Tamandua tetradactyla: one gene and its partner. The main gene of each other region encodes a partner of the protein of the gene in region 2 in a complex. Links are inferred from orthologs where the notes say so. Each region holds a gene or a part of one and is shown on either strand. Other genes may lie near its edges.

Evidence for each region.
Region 1: the proteins of RAB1B (region 2) and TBC1D20 are in contact, whole or in part, in a crystal structure (PDB 4HLQ), measured with the Homo sapiens proteins. The link is inferred for Tamandua tetradactyla from reciprocal best matches to the Homo sapiens genes RAB1B and TBC1D20. Residues at the interface, in NP_112243.1 of Homo sapiens: Ser17, Gly18, Ser36, Tyr37, Ile38, Ser39, Thr40, Ile41, Gly42, Val43, Asp44, Phe45, Gln60, Trp62, Ala65, Gly66, Gln67, Arg69, Phe70, Thr72, Ile73, Tyr77, Glu94; in NP_653229.1 of Homo sapiens: Gln97, Gln98, Leu101, Asp102, Arg104, Arg105, Leu107, Arg108, His141, Tyr142, Tyr143, Gln144, Gly145, His147, Asp148, Phe177, Met178, Asp179, Pro180, Thr181, Met182, Lys186, Val212, Ile215, Leu218, Ser219, Thr223, His227, Met272, Ala273.

Annotation. Positions count from the first base shown.
Region 1 is NC_135327.1:22,340,693-22,348,813, forward strand, and holds the start of TBC1D20 (TBC1 domain family member 20), read right to left. Parts: upstream 3,014-8,121; 5' UTR 2,871-3,013; coding exon 2,801-2,870; intron 1-2,800. UniProt on the Homo sapiens protein: GTPase-activating protein (GAP) specific for Rab1 and Rab2 small GTPase families for which it can accelerate the intrinsic GTP hydrolysis rate by more than five orders of magnitude. Also shows GAP activity for RAB18 GTPase.
Region 2 is NC_135335.1:8,162,925-8,170,535, forward strand, and holds the start of RAB1B (ras-related protein Rab-1B), read right to left. Parts: upstream 3,194-7,611; coding exon 3,066-3,193; intron 1,451-3,065; coding exon 1,378-1,450; intron 1,102-1,377; coding exon 1,006-1,101; intron 891-1,005; coding exon 795-890; intron 1-794. Other genes in the region: KLC2 (kinesin light chain 2), read right to left, coding at 4,853-4,936, 5,291-5,348, 5,581-5,705, 5,782-5,940, 6,061-6,169, 6,611-6,678, 6,774-6,877, 7,385-7,484 and 1 more. UniProt on the Homo sapiens protein: The small GTPases Rab are key regulators of intracellular membrane trafficking, from the formation of transport vesicles to their fusion with membranes.

The DNA of each region.
Region 1 (8,121 bases), on a different chromosome or scaffold from region 2:
TAGGCTCTCATCGTGACATAAAAAAGGAAGAGAAAAGGGAAAACTCAGGTGAGCCAAAGATGTATAAATTACAGAGATAAAGTTAACTGCTAGGCTACATAATGAGGGAGAAAAGAGTAGCAGTGTCAAATGAGCAACTAATTTACATATCTTCTCATCTCGGAAAGAGAAATACCACAGAGCTATTTATTCTTGGGATGCTCAGGAAAGATTCAAATTAATGCTATGTATTTTATTTTCTTATTCTTTTTTTGTATGCTGTATGGTGGGGGTCACATTTCATTCTTTTTCTATTTGAGTATCCCATTATTGCAACACCATTTGTTGTTGTTGTTTGCTTGCTTTTCCTTTGTTTTGCTTGTTCGTTTTTTGGGGGAAGTACATGGGTTGGGATATCTATTTTATTTTAAAATAAGTTTTATATCTGGATTTGGGGTTGAGGCTTACATTTCCAGACTGAGACTGCTCTATCTGGGCTTGGGATAAAAGCTCACATTTCATCTGAAGTGGCATATATGCAATTCAAATCCCCTGAATTCTTTCTTCTACAATTTCTTTACTGCCTTTCTTATTAGAGAGGTGTATTATGCATTTCAAAGCTGCTATCTTCCAAATTTCTTTATAGTAGAGGTCTTAGATATTATAACGAGGACTGAATGAAATGATTGTCCCATGGTTGACTGTAAAATATAAGACTCTTCTATAAATAAATTTCCTGATGCCTGGAAAGTAATTCATTCAATAAAGCAGTAGTTCTTAACAGTTCAGATAAAGTAAAGATGGCTGGAGCCCAGTTATTGCCTCAAACCTCTCCTGACTTTGGGTACAGAACCCAGGTAAGGACTTCTGCCTCCTCAGAGCAACAGGTACCTCTAACAGCAACCGGCTTGGGCTCTTACTAGTTTCCTGTATAGGGAACAGGCAATGACTAAAGAAACCACTAGAAGTTTTTCCATATCACCAAAATAAAAGTGATTTAGATAAGGTAAATGGTCTATATGCAATAATGGAATCTTATGTGAGACTACAAACTACCATATTGATATTTTATTTAAGCTTGCACATCAAGAAAACGTCACAGTCTTTAAACAGAAGTTAGACTACATAATCCTGGCCTTAATCAAAACAATGAAAGAGCTAGTCAAAGAGAGAGTAAGAGATCCTCCCAGACAAACATCCTCTTACCCCACTGATTTCCCGATGCTAACACTGAAAACTGACTGCAAAATTTATGCTTGAACTTGTATCAAAGAAAGACAATGGGAAAGGAAAATCTTACTTTTACCTTCGGTAAGGTGCTTATTAAAAAAACAAGATAAAACAAATAAGTCTCTGTTTTGGGTGGTTCTAATTAGTTTCAACAAAACAAATTAGCAGAGATTCATTACCTGCTTAAAACATAAAGATAAGGACATATCTAGAAAGACTGCTTTACCCCAACAATGGAGAAAAATATTCTAGACAGCAAATCAATCTGATCATAAACTGTACAAAGGAGGGCTTCTAGTATTAGTAACTTTGACAACACTAATATGACTAAAAACAAGGACAAAAATAAAAAAAGTCATCTCTAAATTCCTCACACTCATAGACGTCTAGTCTAGCAACCTAGGCACAGCTGTGAGCAACAAGTCACAAGCACCATACTGCTTGGACACTGACTATTATGCCATGAGGGCAGATGTCACAAAACATCAGCAAAAGGTTATAATGCCAAAGGGCCCATAGAAGTATATCGGAAGTCAGCTCCACCTCCATCAGGTCACAGAACGGAAGAAAAAGGAAATAACAGAGAATGAGCTCAGAGGAAGATGTGGCTAACAGATGTTTCCTCAAAGCATTTGGGTTGAATAGGCAGTGGTTCTATTATGGGCACCACCCATGAGAGGACAGGAAAGTGGAAGGCCACCTTATTGCTTCCCAAGGGACATAAGATTATTGTAGTTGTTATACGGCGAATATTGAAGGTTTTTTCATGTACTTATTGCATGTAAAACATGTCTGGAAACAATGCACAACAAAAACATGATTTCACACAAATCACTGCTTAAAATGAAACTAAGTTAAAAGAAAAAGAGGATCACCTTCTAGACAATTAAATAAACATTAAGATAGGTGGCAAACGATAGAGGTGGAAAGTAAATTAGTAGTGGCTAGGGGCTGGGGAAGGGGGAGTGACTGCTAACGGGTACAGGCATTCTTTTTGGGGCCACGAAAATGTTCTGGAATTAGACAGCGGCAATGGTCATGAATATACTAAGAATCGCTGGATTTTATATTTCAAAAGACTGAAATTTATTACCGAAAAAATTTTTAAGTGACAAATGGACATCGCGTTACGTCACGACGCCAATATATGAATGAAGTTTGAGAAACCTGCCTTACAGCAACAGCGGAAGCACCAGGAGTCTGGCACCAGGAGTCTGCGGACGTGGCCGGGCTGTCTCAGGCCGGGGGTGAGGCCTGGGCTCCCATCTCAGTGAGATGCGATTCTGCCACCACCGCTCCTCTAGCCACCTCAGCCTCCGCCCGATCCCCCACTTTCAAGTCCTCTCCCCCTTTCAGACCTGACTCGGGCCCTTCAGCCTTTCCCTCCCCAGCCGCGCCGACCCCCGCCCGCGGCCCTGGGCGCGTCCGCCTGCGTGTCCCAGCTCCGCTGCCTCGGACCCTCCAGCCAGCGGCCCCTCCCATGCCACCTCTGTCCCAGGCGTGCTCCCCCCTGCCTCTCAGGCCGCCCCTGCCCCTCAGGCCATCCTCGCAGGCCACTCCTGGACGCCCCGGCCCCACCCGGCTTCCGTACCTGCCTTCTCCGCGTCCCTGGGCCAGCGGCTGGAGGCAGGACCATCGCCCTGCGCACTCCGGAGGGCCATGCCCCGGGGGCCCGGGCCCGGGCCCGAGCCCCGGATGATAGCAGAGCTTTGAGGAGACGCAGCTGCGACGGCAGAACCCAGCGCCCACTTCGCGAAGACAGGCTCGGCGCCTTCGGCCCACCGCGCGCAGGCGCGTAGGCGTTCCCGTGCGGACCCCGCCCCCGCGCAGGCACGTGACTTTCCCCTAAACTGGGGCGACGGCGCTCGCGCAGGCTCCGTGAGCCGAGGGGACCGGGAGAGTTGAGTTCAACTCAGCTGTAGAGTTGTGCTCTTGCCCGAGTATGTTTAGGGCCATATTTTGTCATTTATTTTGCTTTTCTTATTTGTAGAATGGTGCTGCTGAAAATAATAGTACCGAACTCTCAGGGTTATTGAAAAAGTGCTACCAAACGTAGTAAATAGTCCGCAATTATGATTCCACAATTATGAGCTATTATTTTTTGCTTGCCAAGCACTTTTAACTCTTACCTCACCTCTCCACAACTCTTGTCATTATACTTGGCGACTTCGGGACTTAGCGTAAGCAAACAGCTGCGGGTGGTGCACTGCACAACGCCAGGGGGCGCCATTCAAAATTTCGATTATATGAACAGTCTTGTGCAAAGTAATGGCCACCCATTCAAAATAGTACTGCTGGCTCGTCAGGTATTTCACTTCCTTCTTCATATTTCGAGACAGTCTCCTTGTTTCCAGTTAGCCGCTCATTCCTGTGATCAAATCCTTCCTACTGTCAACAGCAGGACCTGTCCAGCCTCCCAAATATCTAATGCTAAGCCCTCACTCTGAAGTTTCTATGATTCTGGTTGCTCAAAGATCCCAGCCACATCAGTTCTTTATTCTCATGAGACCTCCAGCCCATGGAGCTCACTAGCCCCTCCTAGCTTCGTGTCTAATCTGCCCAGTCTAGATTCCATGGTCTACTGATACATTGTAAGTCCTTTTTTTTTTTCTTTTTTTTAACTTTCTCTGGGTAGTTTCAATGAGCCGAAAAGATTACTTGGAAGCTAATTTGATTTTTTTAAAAATATTTTTATAGTAAAATCTTCACACGCATATATTCCATACATGTATAATATCACAATATCATCACATAGTTGTGTATTCATTGCCATGCATTTTTTAGAACGTTTGCATCACTCCAGAAAAAGTAAAAGAAAAAAGATATGTACCACACCCCTTATCCCTCCCTCTCATTGACCACTAGTATTTCCTTCTACCCAATTTATTTTATCCTTTGTCTCCCCTATTATTTATTTATTTTTATCCATTTATTTTTTTAACTCATCTATCTATACCCTGGATAAAAGGAGCATCAGACACAAGGTTTTCACAATCACACAGTAGCATTGTAAAAGTTATGTCTTTATACAATCATTTTCAAGAATCAAGGCTACTGGAATATAGCTCAAGTTCCAGGTATTTCCCTCCAGCCACTCCAATATATCATTGTTCTAGTTTGCTAGCTGCTGGAATGCAATATACCAAAAATGGAATGGCTTTTAAAAAGGGAAATTTAATGAGTTACTAGTTTATAGTTCTACAGCCGAGAAAATGTCCCAATCAAAACAAGTCTATAGAAATGTCCAATCAAAGGCATCCATCCAGGGAAAGATACCTTGGTTCTAGAAGGCGGATGAAGTTCAGGGCTTCTCTCTCAAGTGAGAAGGCACATGGCGAACACAGTCAGACTTCTCTCTCGGCTGGAAGGGCATATGGTGGACACGGCGTCATCTACTAGCTTTCTCTCCTGGCTTCCGGTTTCATGAAGCTCCCTGGGAGGCGTTTTCCTTCTTCATCTCCAAAGGTCTCTGGCTGGTGGACTTTCTGCTACGTGGTGCTGCAGCATTCTCTGCTCTCTCTGAATCTCTCATTCTCCAAAATATTTCCTCTTTTATAGGACTCCAATAAACCAATCAAGACCCACCCAAATGGGTGGAGACATGTCGTCCCCTAATCCAGTTTAACAACCATTCTTAACTAAATCACATCATCCAGGGAGATGATCTGATTACAGTTTCAAACCTACAGTATTGGATAGAGATTATTCTACCTTTATGAAATGATATTTTGATTAAAACATGGCTTTTCTAGGGGGCACACTTCCTTTCAAACCAGCACAATCATAAACTAAAAAGGGATATCTATGTAATATATACGAATAACCTCCAGGCTAAGCTTCCGACTGTCTGAAATTTTTCAGCCACTGAAACTTTTATTTGGTCTCATTGCTCCTTTCCCCCTTTTGGTCAAGAAGGCTTTCTCAGTCCTTTTATGTTGGGGCCTGGCTCATCCTGGGTGTTCTGTCCCATATTACCTGGGAGATTTACACTCGTGGGAGTCATGTCCCACGTAGGTGGGGAGGCAGTGAGTTCACCTGCCAAGTTGGCTTACAGAGGGAAGTCACATCTGAGCAACAAAAGAGGTTCTCCGGGGGTGACTCTTAGGCCTAATTTAAAGGAGGTTTAGCCTGTCCTTTGCAGGAATAAGTTGCAAAGAAGCAAACTCCAAGACAGAGAGCTTGGTCTATTGATATGGTTGTCCCCACTACTTGTAAGAATATCACAAATTCTTCAAATGGGGAAGTGGAATGTTTCATCCTTTCTCCTCAGTCCCCCAAGGGCACTTTGCTAATACTTATTTATTCACTGCCCAAATTACTCTGGAATATATAGAAGCATCACACCAACCTGGACAAACAAACAAGATCTCATGCCCTATTCAAGATTCCATGTACTTATGGTGTTCAGCTAAACTTACCATACAACTTAAATTAGGAGATACTCTATCCAAAATATAGATTTTACACCAAATAAACATCTCTCCCTTTGGTCTCACAGAAGTTGAAGTTTTAAAATATGGACAATATATCCTTTACCCTGTATTCTGATTTACCTTAGTCCTATCCACATCAGTTTCATTCATATCTCTAGTTGATGTTTGATCATTTTTTCAACTTTTTAAATAGTTCATATATGGGGTACTGCTGACTTTCATAACTTCAGAGTTCTAACTCTGAGTCCCAGGTGTCACATAAATGCCTGAAGTTTCTGGCAATGACTAGGTTATAAAAAACAGCTCAGTATCTCAGAATTTAGAAATAACAGTTACAACTTCTGAATACATATGATGCTGTGAGATCTTACAATCTAGGACGCTTTACAATAGGCTCCAATCTGACAACTCATGCTCTCAACTTCACATTGCTGAGTTTTTATACTATAGTTAGTCCATATGATTGAGGCATGAAAACATTTGTCTCCTTGTTCCAAGCAATTCATTTAACCATATTGTCCTTTAAATTCATACACTTAGTTGCACGCCTTACAACTTCATTCCTTCTTGGGGCTGCTCAGTAGTCCATTGTATGTATATACCATAGTTCCTCAAGGAAGTTAATTTAATTTTTAAAGCTAATATTCAATGGATTAAATCCCAAAGCCTAATTCTTCCTTAAACTTTTCACTTCAATGAACAAATTTTACAATTCTATTCATAATCTAGTAAATTTAACAATCACTTGGTTGGTTCCATTAATAAACTTAATTTCCTATGAACCACTGAAATTGCATTTATAAATGTAATCATTCACTTTCCTTAAAGTATCATAATCTTCTAACAAAGTCAAGTTCAAATAGAACTCCTGTAAATGTAATAAGTTAAAGTTATAAATATATTGAGTCATACATTCTTTTAAATATGCTAATACAAACTGAATAAGATCACATAGATTCCTTAACACAAAAATATTAACACTGAAAGTTTGAAAATATTTCTAGTCTTTGATCTAAATCATCACTGAGGTTAAAAGGTGCCTTTGCCCACTGAAGAAGGAATTAAGTCATTCCAATTTAGCATTATTTATTCCCTCTTGTTTACCGCACTGTCCTGCAAGACAGCTGGATTCTGGCCTGTGATAATGATGGGACAGTGACCCTAAAAAGGCTACCTAGCAAGGTAACAAAAGGTCTGGGATTAGTTCCAGGTCTCTTAGCTCCCAGCAGCCCCTTCCTCTCCCCACCATCACATCTCTGGGGCTAAATAGTTGCCTATTCATTGTGAGGCTTGGCCAGCTCTTGTCCTCTGAAAATTAAGTTGACAGGGGCTCAGAGGAAAGGAAGGATAGCCAAGCTATTGTCAAGTATGCAAAAGTTTAAGTATCAGATACCCCTTGTTCCAGGCTGGTAACCCATCCTCCAGGCTGCACATTGCCCAACTGCACTTCTTTACCATGGAGCTCTAAAGGTACAGCATGACAAGAAGTGCAGGTCATTTTACCTTATATTTCCTCTACACGTGCTCTCTTTGAAAGGAGATGTAGGGGGGCAAGAAGAATATAATAATAAGTTTTCCTGGGCCAGTGGGAGCCAGCCTATGCTAGGGTATGATTTGAGCCACTACCCCGTGGCCTGGCCTTGGAGCCCATCTCTGGGCTGGATCCTGCCAGGCTAGTCTGCCATGGGCCCAAGGACACCAGGAAGAATGAACACCTCAGAAGATCCCAAGTCACAGACACAGAAACTGAACTCATTTTTTAGCTCAACCAATATTCATGGTCCCTACTGTATGGTCAGGTTCATGTGTCAACTTGACCAGATAGTGGTGTCCGGTCTAGTTGGACAAATGCCAGCCTGTCTGTTGCTGTGAGGACATTTCATGGACTTAAATCATGGCCACGTTGGTGGCATTCACAGCTTATTGCATTTGCAGTCAGCTAAAGGGAGTGTCTTCTGCAATGAGTGATGCTTAATTTAATCACTGGAAGGCTTTTAAGGAGGATTCAGAAGAAACAATCACTCTCCCTGCTTCAGCCAGCCAGCCTCCCCTGAGAGTTCATTGAGGACCTTCATTGGAGCTGCCATCTCGTGGCCTGCCCTACAGATCTTGGACTCTTACATCCCCACAGTTGCATGAGACACTTCTATAAATTTTGTATTTACAGATATCTCCTGTGATTCTGTTTTTCTGGAGACCCTAGCTAATACAGCTTGGTACTGGGAGTGGTTCTTAAGAAAGAGAATTTTAAAAATGGGTTTTTACAACTGGCTTTCTACTCTAACTGGACTCAAAGGCACTAATGACTCTGTTTCCTGTAATCAGGATGGCATTGCCAGTCCATGGGGTGAGCTGGCAAAAGAGATAGTCAAGATATCACCATTTGATTCTGCTAATTGTATGCTCATACGAGGTCAGGCTCTGGGTGATAATGATTTTGACACTTTTATGGAGTAGAATTAAGTGAAATTAAGAGGTA
Region 2 (7,611 bases):
TGGGCCATCCTGGTGAGCCTGCAGAGTCCAGCCACCCCTAAGGAGAGGGACTCCTCTGGGGCTGGTGTGACCATCTCCATGTCCCAGCACCTGGACTTGGGAAGCCACACGGTTTGGTAGAAGCAGCAAAGCAACTGGAACCAGGAGACCTAGGCCTTCCACCTGCCACTTAACTAGCTGCAGGACCCTCCCAAGCCTCCTCACCACTCTGGGACCATCTCCTCATCTGTAAAATGGGACAACAATGCAGACTTTTGGGGGATGTAATGAACATCAAAAAGCACAAAGGCTGTGATAGGTTCAGTATATTTTAGGGTATGGCAGGACGATTTCCGACTGTTCACACCACAATTCTATCATCACTGCTGCCAAGGACGTGCGACTGTACCGCTGGGGGTGGGCACAGGACTCCTAGACCCTGCTTACACTGGGACCAGAGCTCTAGGCTCCCTCACGTCCATGTCCAAATGCTTCCACACAGTGTTTTCCATGCAGGAGGCCAAACAGCTGACTAAACCGACACCAAAGCCAGGTGACAGGGAGGTGTAGAATGAGGTAGCAAATCCGGAGAAGAGAAGATGGCGGGAGTGGGAGTGGGGGATGGGACAGGAAGGGGCTGCTTCTGCCAAAACCTTGCACTCCTGGAAGATCCATCTCGGTGGCTGCTTCCCGCCTTATGAAATGAGTCTGAATATAGTCTCCTTTCAAAGCAGCATCAGGAAGAGAGGACAGGAAGAGAAAAAAGAAGCAAGAGCCAGAGACCTAAGGCTGAGGAGGCGAGAGGCCAGGAGTACCTGGTCGGTGACATCGTACACCACGATGATGCCGTGGGCACCCCGGTAGTAGCTGGAAGTGATGGTCCGGAACCGTTCCTGACCGGCTGTGTCCCACTACAAGACAGCAGGGAGAGAGGGGCAGACAGCTCTCAGCTCCATGTTCAGAGGCCCCCTCCCCTCCCGAGGCCCATGCCTTTGCACCGGGGGCTTTGGGAAGAGCAATACTCACAATCTGAAGTTTGATGGTTTTACCATCCAGCTCAATGGTTCGGATCTTGAAGTCTACTCCGATGGTGCTGATGTAGCTCTCTGTGTATGTGTCATCCTGGAAGGTAGGGGGCCAGTGAACAGGCCTGAGGCCCATTTGGAAAACCCCCTCCAGCTCCATGCCTCAGCTGAGCTCTTAGCTGTAAAACCCTGGTTCTCAGCACCCTAACCGGCCAGCCCTGTGCCTCTGTTCAATCAGAAGTATTCCCAGCAAGTCCTGCAATTTCAACCTTGGTCCCTGGGTCTCACAGTTACTGTGTTCTGAGTTGCCCCCGCTACCCCCTATTGCCCAGCCAGAACCCCGGAGGGGTGGTATAGGAGGCTTCTTACTCACAGCAAACCGCAGAAGCAGGCATGACTTGCCCACACCCGAGTCACCAATCAAAAGCAGCTTAAACAGGTAGTCACTGGAGAGAGAAAACAGGAAGGCATGAAGGGAGCCCACCCGCCATCATCTTCGAGTCACAACTACGGTATTCTCCCACACTGAGAGGCATCCCTCCTTTTACAGAATACTATGGGGCTGACCAGGTCCTCCCACCAGTCCTGGGGAGAGGGGACTCACCCCTTACCTTACACAGCTGTCTACCCCACCTTACCAGCTATCTACCCCAAAGGGCTTTCCGTGTGCTGTGTTTGAATTCCCACTTCTCAGAGGAGGAAACCGAGGCACAGAGAGGGATATGACTTAGCAAGGATCACAATTAGTTTGGTGAGAGAACTGGGCATCCTATCCTGATTCCTGACAGACTCGGCAGTTCTGTCCAATAGGGGCTATTTAGGGAAACCCTGCTACACACCCTATAATGTACCCCACAAGTAGAAGCCAGAACCCATACAGGACCTACTGAATGATAATCTGTGTAAAACAGCCTGGTATGAAGCCACCAGGAAGAAATTAACCAATAAGTGGCATCAGCATAACACTAGCTAATATCACTGAGTTCCTCCTTGTGCTTGGCCCTGCGCTAAGTACTTCAAGCGTGTCATCTCACTAACAACAGTCCAGTGAAGTGGGTGTTACTCTCCCCTAAGGAGGAAACCCGAAGTCAGAGAAGTGAGACTCGCCCTAGGCATAAGACTTGAAAGCAGGTCTGTCAGACTCCACTCTCTGTGGTAGCCTACTGGTTCCCTTCTCTGGCCCCCCTTATAATTCTACAGTATTTCACCCTTTCCCAAGGAAACCTGAGGGCAGGATCCAGAAGAGGAAAAGGAAGTGGCAAAAGAGGAAGAAAGTAACTGCTCCTTGGGAAAAACTGTCACTTAGAAATCCGAGGTGCGAGCTGTGGGCCACCTACCCATAGGGGGAGTGACCAACAAGTAGGAACAGAGAACCCCATTGAAAGGGGGGAAGCAACCACCAGTCATCTAAACTTAAACTTCACCGGCAGAGCGGGAGCCAAGGGAAGGGGTGTGACAGTGGCAGCTGCGGGCCTGCGCAAAGGTGAGGGGAGGGGAAGAAGGGACGGCCGCCGGGAAAGGACGACCCGCCGGAGACGCGGCCCAGAGCGGCGCCTCGCTTCCCGCGTCTGACCAGAGCCGGGCCGGGGCTCCAGGAGAACGGGAAGGGCAGAAGGACTTACGGCCCCCTACTTAAAGGCCAGAGTCTGAACCCGAGACCAGAGACTATCACGCAGGCTCCAAAATGCTGGGACCGTCGTCTGCACCCAGGCCGTAGGTGGGGAAACTGAGGCCGGGAGAGACCCGGGCTGCAGGGTCACTTGACTGATAAGGCCTGGTAGGGTCTGTGCCTCGGGTTCCAAGCGCGGCTTTTGGGGTCGCTGTCTCTGGGCTCTGGATGCAAGGACTCGGGGTATCGAGCCGGGGTCCTGGGGCCCCCGGGGGGAGGGGCGGGACCCGGATGTGTGTGTGGTTTTTTTTTGGGGGGGGGGGTCAGCGGAAGAGGGACCCGGATGTGGGGGCGCCGCGCAGTCCTGACCCGGGCCGGACAAGCCCGGTTAGCGTACAGCCCCGTACTCAGGATCGAGGCTGCGCCGAACGGCGCGGGCGGGGCTCACTCACTATTCGGGGTTCATGGCGGCGGCGGCGGCCCGCTCGGTCGCTCCCAGTCGGCTCTGCTCCGCCTCCCGTTCCAAGATGGTGGTCGCTCCGCCCCAGAAGCCCCGCCCGCGATGCGCAGGCGCAAACATTCCCTCCTTCGGCCTTGTCGCGCTGCTTATCGGAACTTGTAGTATTGTCCTGTTCGCCCCCGCTGCGCAGGCGCAAACCAGAGAGCCCACCCCCCCCAATCGCCGCAGGCGCTTTGCCTTCTGGGGCTTGTAGTTCACCCTCTGGGTAGCCCTGAGCTTGAGGGCAACGCTCTGGACGCCGAAAGCTGCTTTTAGGGCCGGGGTTGGGCGGGGGGGAGCGGGTCACCCGTCTTTTTAACCTCTCTCTGACGGAGGTAGTCATTCCACTTTCCCAGTTCCCAGGTTTGTGAGCATTAAATGCGAAGGCGGATGCGAGTAAAAGATGTTTATTTTTCCTGGTTTCTCCGTGTGCTGGAGGCTGCCGATTCACAACCGCAACCCAGGAGGAAGGTGTTATCACCCACATTTTTATAGATTAAAAAAATCGAATCTCGGAGAACCCGCTCAAGGTCAAACAGTCTAGGTAAGGGCAGAGCTCATCCAAGCCCTCGCTCTCTATAATAATTCCAGAGGTGAAGATTATTAGAAGAACTGAACCTTTCCGGAGGACTTTGAGACACGTAAATGGGCCCCCAAATAATTCCGGCAAGGAGCTGCTACTCAGGAGCCGGACGTGAGCGACACCCCCTCCCGCCCCTCCATCCACACGGAATCTTTCTGTACCCCCGTCAGTCCCCCCTACCCCACCCCCCGATCTGGTGACGCTGGGGGGCTCTCGGCCTCGTCCCCAAAACAAGCCCGGCTCAGATTCAAACCGTCTTTATTTCTACAGCAACATCTGAAAACGGAGAGCGATCGCCATCCCCCACAACTGGGGCAGCCCCTCCTGTCACCGCGGAAGGGGCTGCTCATCGCCGCCCGGCGCGAGAAGCTGCAGCCTTGGGAGGGGGCGTGGCAGGATGGCTCGACCGGCGTGGCCCGGGACGGGGTCTAGCCGCACCTGGCAGGGCCGCGCGGAGGGGCAGTGCAGAAGGCCGCACGCAGCCGGCCGGGGCGGGGGCGGCGGGCAAGGGGTGGACGCTCCGTGCTGGGGCACCGGGGGTTGGCCGGGTAGGGTGTGCCCTCTGAGGCCAGAAGGAGTGCGAGGTCTAGGAAACCCTTTGGGGAGGCGCCGACCCGGAGATGCGGAGCCTGGGAGAAGCCACCGCGAGGAATGGGGGTGATTAAGGCCTGGGCGGTACCACTAGAGAAGGGCGGAGTGGGAAGAGGCCGGGGTAGTACCGTGGACAGAGGTCGGGGGGAACGGCCAATAACTTATTTCTCTATATACAGAAGCAACGGCCGGGGGTGGGGGGGGACGGCAGGGGTGCTGAAGGGTGCTTAGTGTTATTAGCTCCGGGATCTGGGGAGGGCGGTCGCTTAGTCTCTACCTTAGAGTCCTTGGCCAGCTCCTGCTGGCCTTGGGGGCCCCGGAAGCTGGGGCAGAGGGGCCCTGCTGTTAGGAATAAATAAGGGGTGGGAGCTGGAGCCGGCAGACCCAGCCTCCGGGGCTCAGGCTGAGATGACAAGGGAGGAGGTTACCCTGAGATTGAACAGAAAAGACAGAGGGTCCTTGGGAAGGACAAGTGGGACAAGCAGCAAGGCCCATGCGCAGGGCTGGGGTGGGGTGGAGGGGTCAGTGCCGGCTGGAAGCTCTGGTGACTGGCTGCCCCTTCAGCATTAGCCTAGGAGGGAGCTTCGTCGGGAGAGGTCCATGGAGCTGGAGCTGAGCGTGCGGCTGTCAGAGAAGCCAGTGCCTCCAGGCTGTGGGCAGAGGGGGCAGGCCACTTAGCTCACCTGCTGCCAGTCTGGGTTTCTCTGGCCCCGCTTCTCTGAGCGGGGCAGAGGCAGAGCCTGTTCTGACCCAAAGCCACCCCTGTGCTCTGATGGTCCTGTCCATTTCCATGGTTACTGTGCTGACACTGGCCACCCCAGGGCAGGGCCCACTTTCCCCCATCTGTCTCCCCACTGACCAGCCCAAAGCCAGGCCTGGGACAGAGACAAGAAATGTGGCTGGAAATGTGGCCAGATGCATAGAGATGCTGGGGGAGGAGCAGGAACAGAGGCTCGAGGAGAAACTAGGCAATATGCAGGCCCTGGGGTCCCACCCACCCATACCTGAACTGCCTCTTCAGCACTCTTGTTGAGGAAGTTGAGGGAACTGGCCCGCTTCATCCTGAGGGGAAAGGGTGACTGTGATTTGTCCAGGTGGAAGTGGTGGTGGGGGGAGGATAGGATAAAGGGGTCAGGTTGGGGCTAGGGAGGGAGGATGCTGGGAGGGAAGCAGACTTGGTAGGTGGTGGGGCTGGAGAGAGATGGGGGAGCTCATCCTGGGTCAGGAGCTCATTTGGAGTTGGCCGGTATGCTGGGTGGGTTCTTGAGGGATGCACCCTGGGAGGGGGGTTCACCTGGGGTTAGGGGACTCCTGGGGGCCACTGCCCTGCAGCTTTTTCACCAGCATCTCACTGCTGCGCCTCAGTGCATCCCGGAGCTTCCCAAAGGAGCCGCTGCGCCGCAGAGAGCCGCTTCCGTCCTGTGGGGTGGGCAGGCTCGTCTCTGTGCCACGCTGGCTACAACAGCCTCCCAGCTGGCCCCATCCTGAGACTCACCCCGCTCCATTCAGCTGCAGGCCCTGCATCCTCGAGTTCAGACTCCGACCGAGGCCCGGCACCTGCAGCCACGTCTCGGCCACCACGGCGGTCTGCCCGCCCACCGCTGCCATCCTTCAGCAGCTCCACCACCTTGGTCTGGCTTGCAGGGTCCAGGCCCTGGGCAAGCAGGGTGGAGGGGCGTTAGGGGGTGCAGGGGACATCAGGTGGTAAAACAGGCCCTGCCTGGAACACAGGGCCCCCCAGGGCCCCACCACACCCCCATGCACATAGCCCCACCTGCTTGCGGCTGCGGCTGGCACAGTCCTCTAGCGTATGGGCAGCTTCAAGCTTGCCCTGGCGCCGGTACAGAGCCCCCAAGCTGCGCAGGGTCGTGTTGACTGTGGGGCTGTAGGGAGAACAACAGGACAGTCTCAGACGCCATGTTCCCCAGGACCCAGGGCCCGCCCTGGCACTCAGTTCACCGTGGGCCCCGAAGAACCATTTCGCCAACTCAACTCTAGGCCCTTCTATGTGTCAAGCCCTCTGCTAAGCACCCAGCCATCCCAATCACAGAGGAGTTACTCCAGGGTTGGGTGCTGGTACCAAGGCCCTGGTAGGCTAAAAACTGGGAGACCCAGAGTGAGATAATCAGGCTGTTATGGTCAAGAAAGCCTTCTTGGCACAGGTGGCCTGTGACCTGGGCCTTGAAAGATGGCCTGGCAGAGAAGAGGTGAGTGAGTGTTCCGGGTGTGGACAGTATAGAGTGTGGAGCTTGGGCCTTGGCCCCCACCCAGGATGCTGATTCCCTGCTACCTGTGCTACACCCGCCCTGTCCTGCTGCCCTCACCTGTCTACTTTACAGGCCTTGTACCAGCTGCCGTATTCCCCATATGGGGTGCTGTCCCGGCGTTTATCCTGGGGGAAGGAATGGTCAGGGGAGGTGGGAGGAGAAGATCTAGCCTCTTCCAGCCTCCCCTGACACCTGCGCCCATCCTGCCCCACAGAGCTACCTTGCTCTCCTCCCGTTCCTCTGCGTGCATCCAGATGGGCTTGTTGTCCCCTGGGAAGACAAAGGGGGTTGTCATCTGCCTCCCATATAGGCCCCCGCTGGAGTCTGCGGTGGGGCACAGGGGTACCCAGAGTCAGGCTTTGTTGAATGAATGAACAAGACACAGACCCTCTTTGGAACAGAGAGGAACATGGCACAGGACTGTGCTTGAGGGGCTGGTGGTCGGGTTGGCGGGGGCAGAAGGACACGTGCCAGGCCTAAACAAAGGGCCAGGTTCCCAGGGACCCCAGAGCAGAAACAACTGACCATCGGGGAGCCAGAGGCCAGTTTCCCAGAGGGAGAGACATTTGCGCTGGGTCCTTGAGGTGAGCAGGAAGTGGCCAGTGGAGAGAGGGGCAGAGAGGCTGGGGTATGCATAGTATATGGCCTGGGAGGCCCAAGGAGGCTGTGCAGCTTATGTGTTTTGCCCACAGGTGCTCACAGGTACACAGATTCCTGGGAGACCATCCAAGGCGTGGGCCTGACCCCCCGCGGTGTGTGCCCTGGATATTGATGGCTGAGTAGGCCTGTGCCAAATGAGCTGGGGCACATGGCAGCCACAGATGGACTCACCGTTGACAGAGCCAAATTCCTTCTCATGAGCGCGAGTGAGGATCTCCTTGTACAGGGTCTCTGCATCCTGATACTTGCCTTGTTTCAGGTAGCAGGAGGCCTGGAGGGGTAGGGCCCAGAAGGTAAGCAGGTGGCAAGAAGCTGAGCCTTTTCTTCTCCTCTCTCCCCTTTCATTCCCCTCCCTCCTTCTTTCCTACCAGCTCCTCCCAGTTTTAGGGTACCAGGTT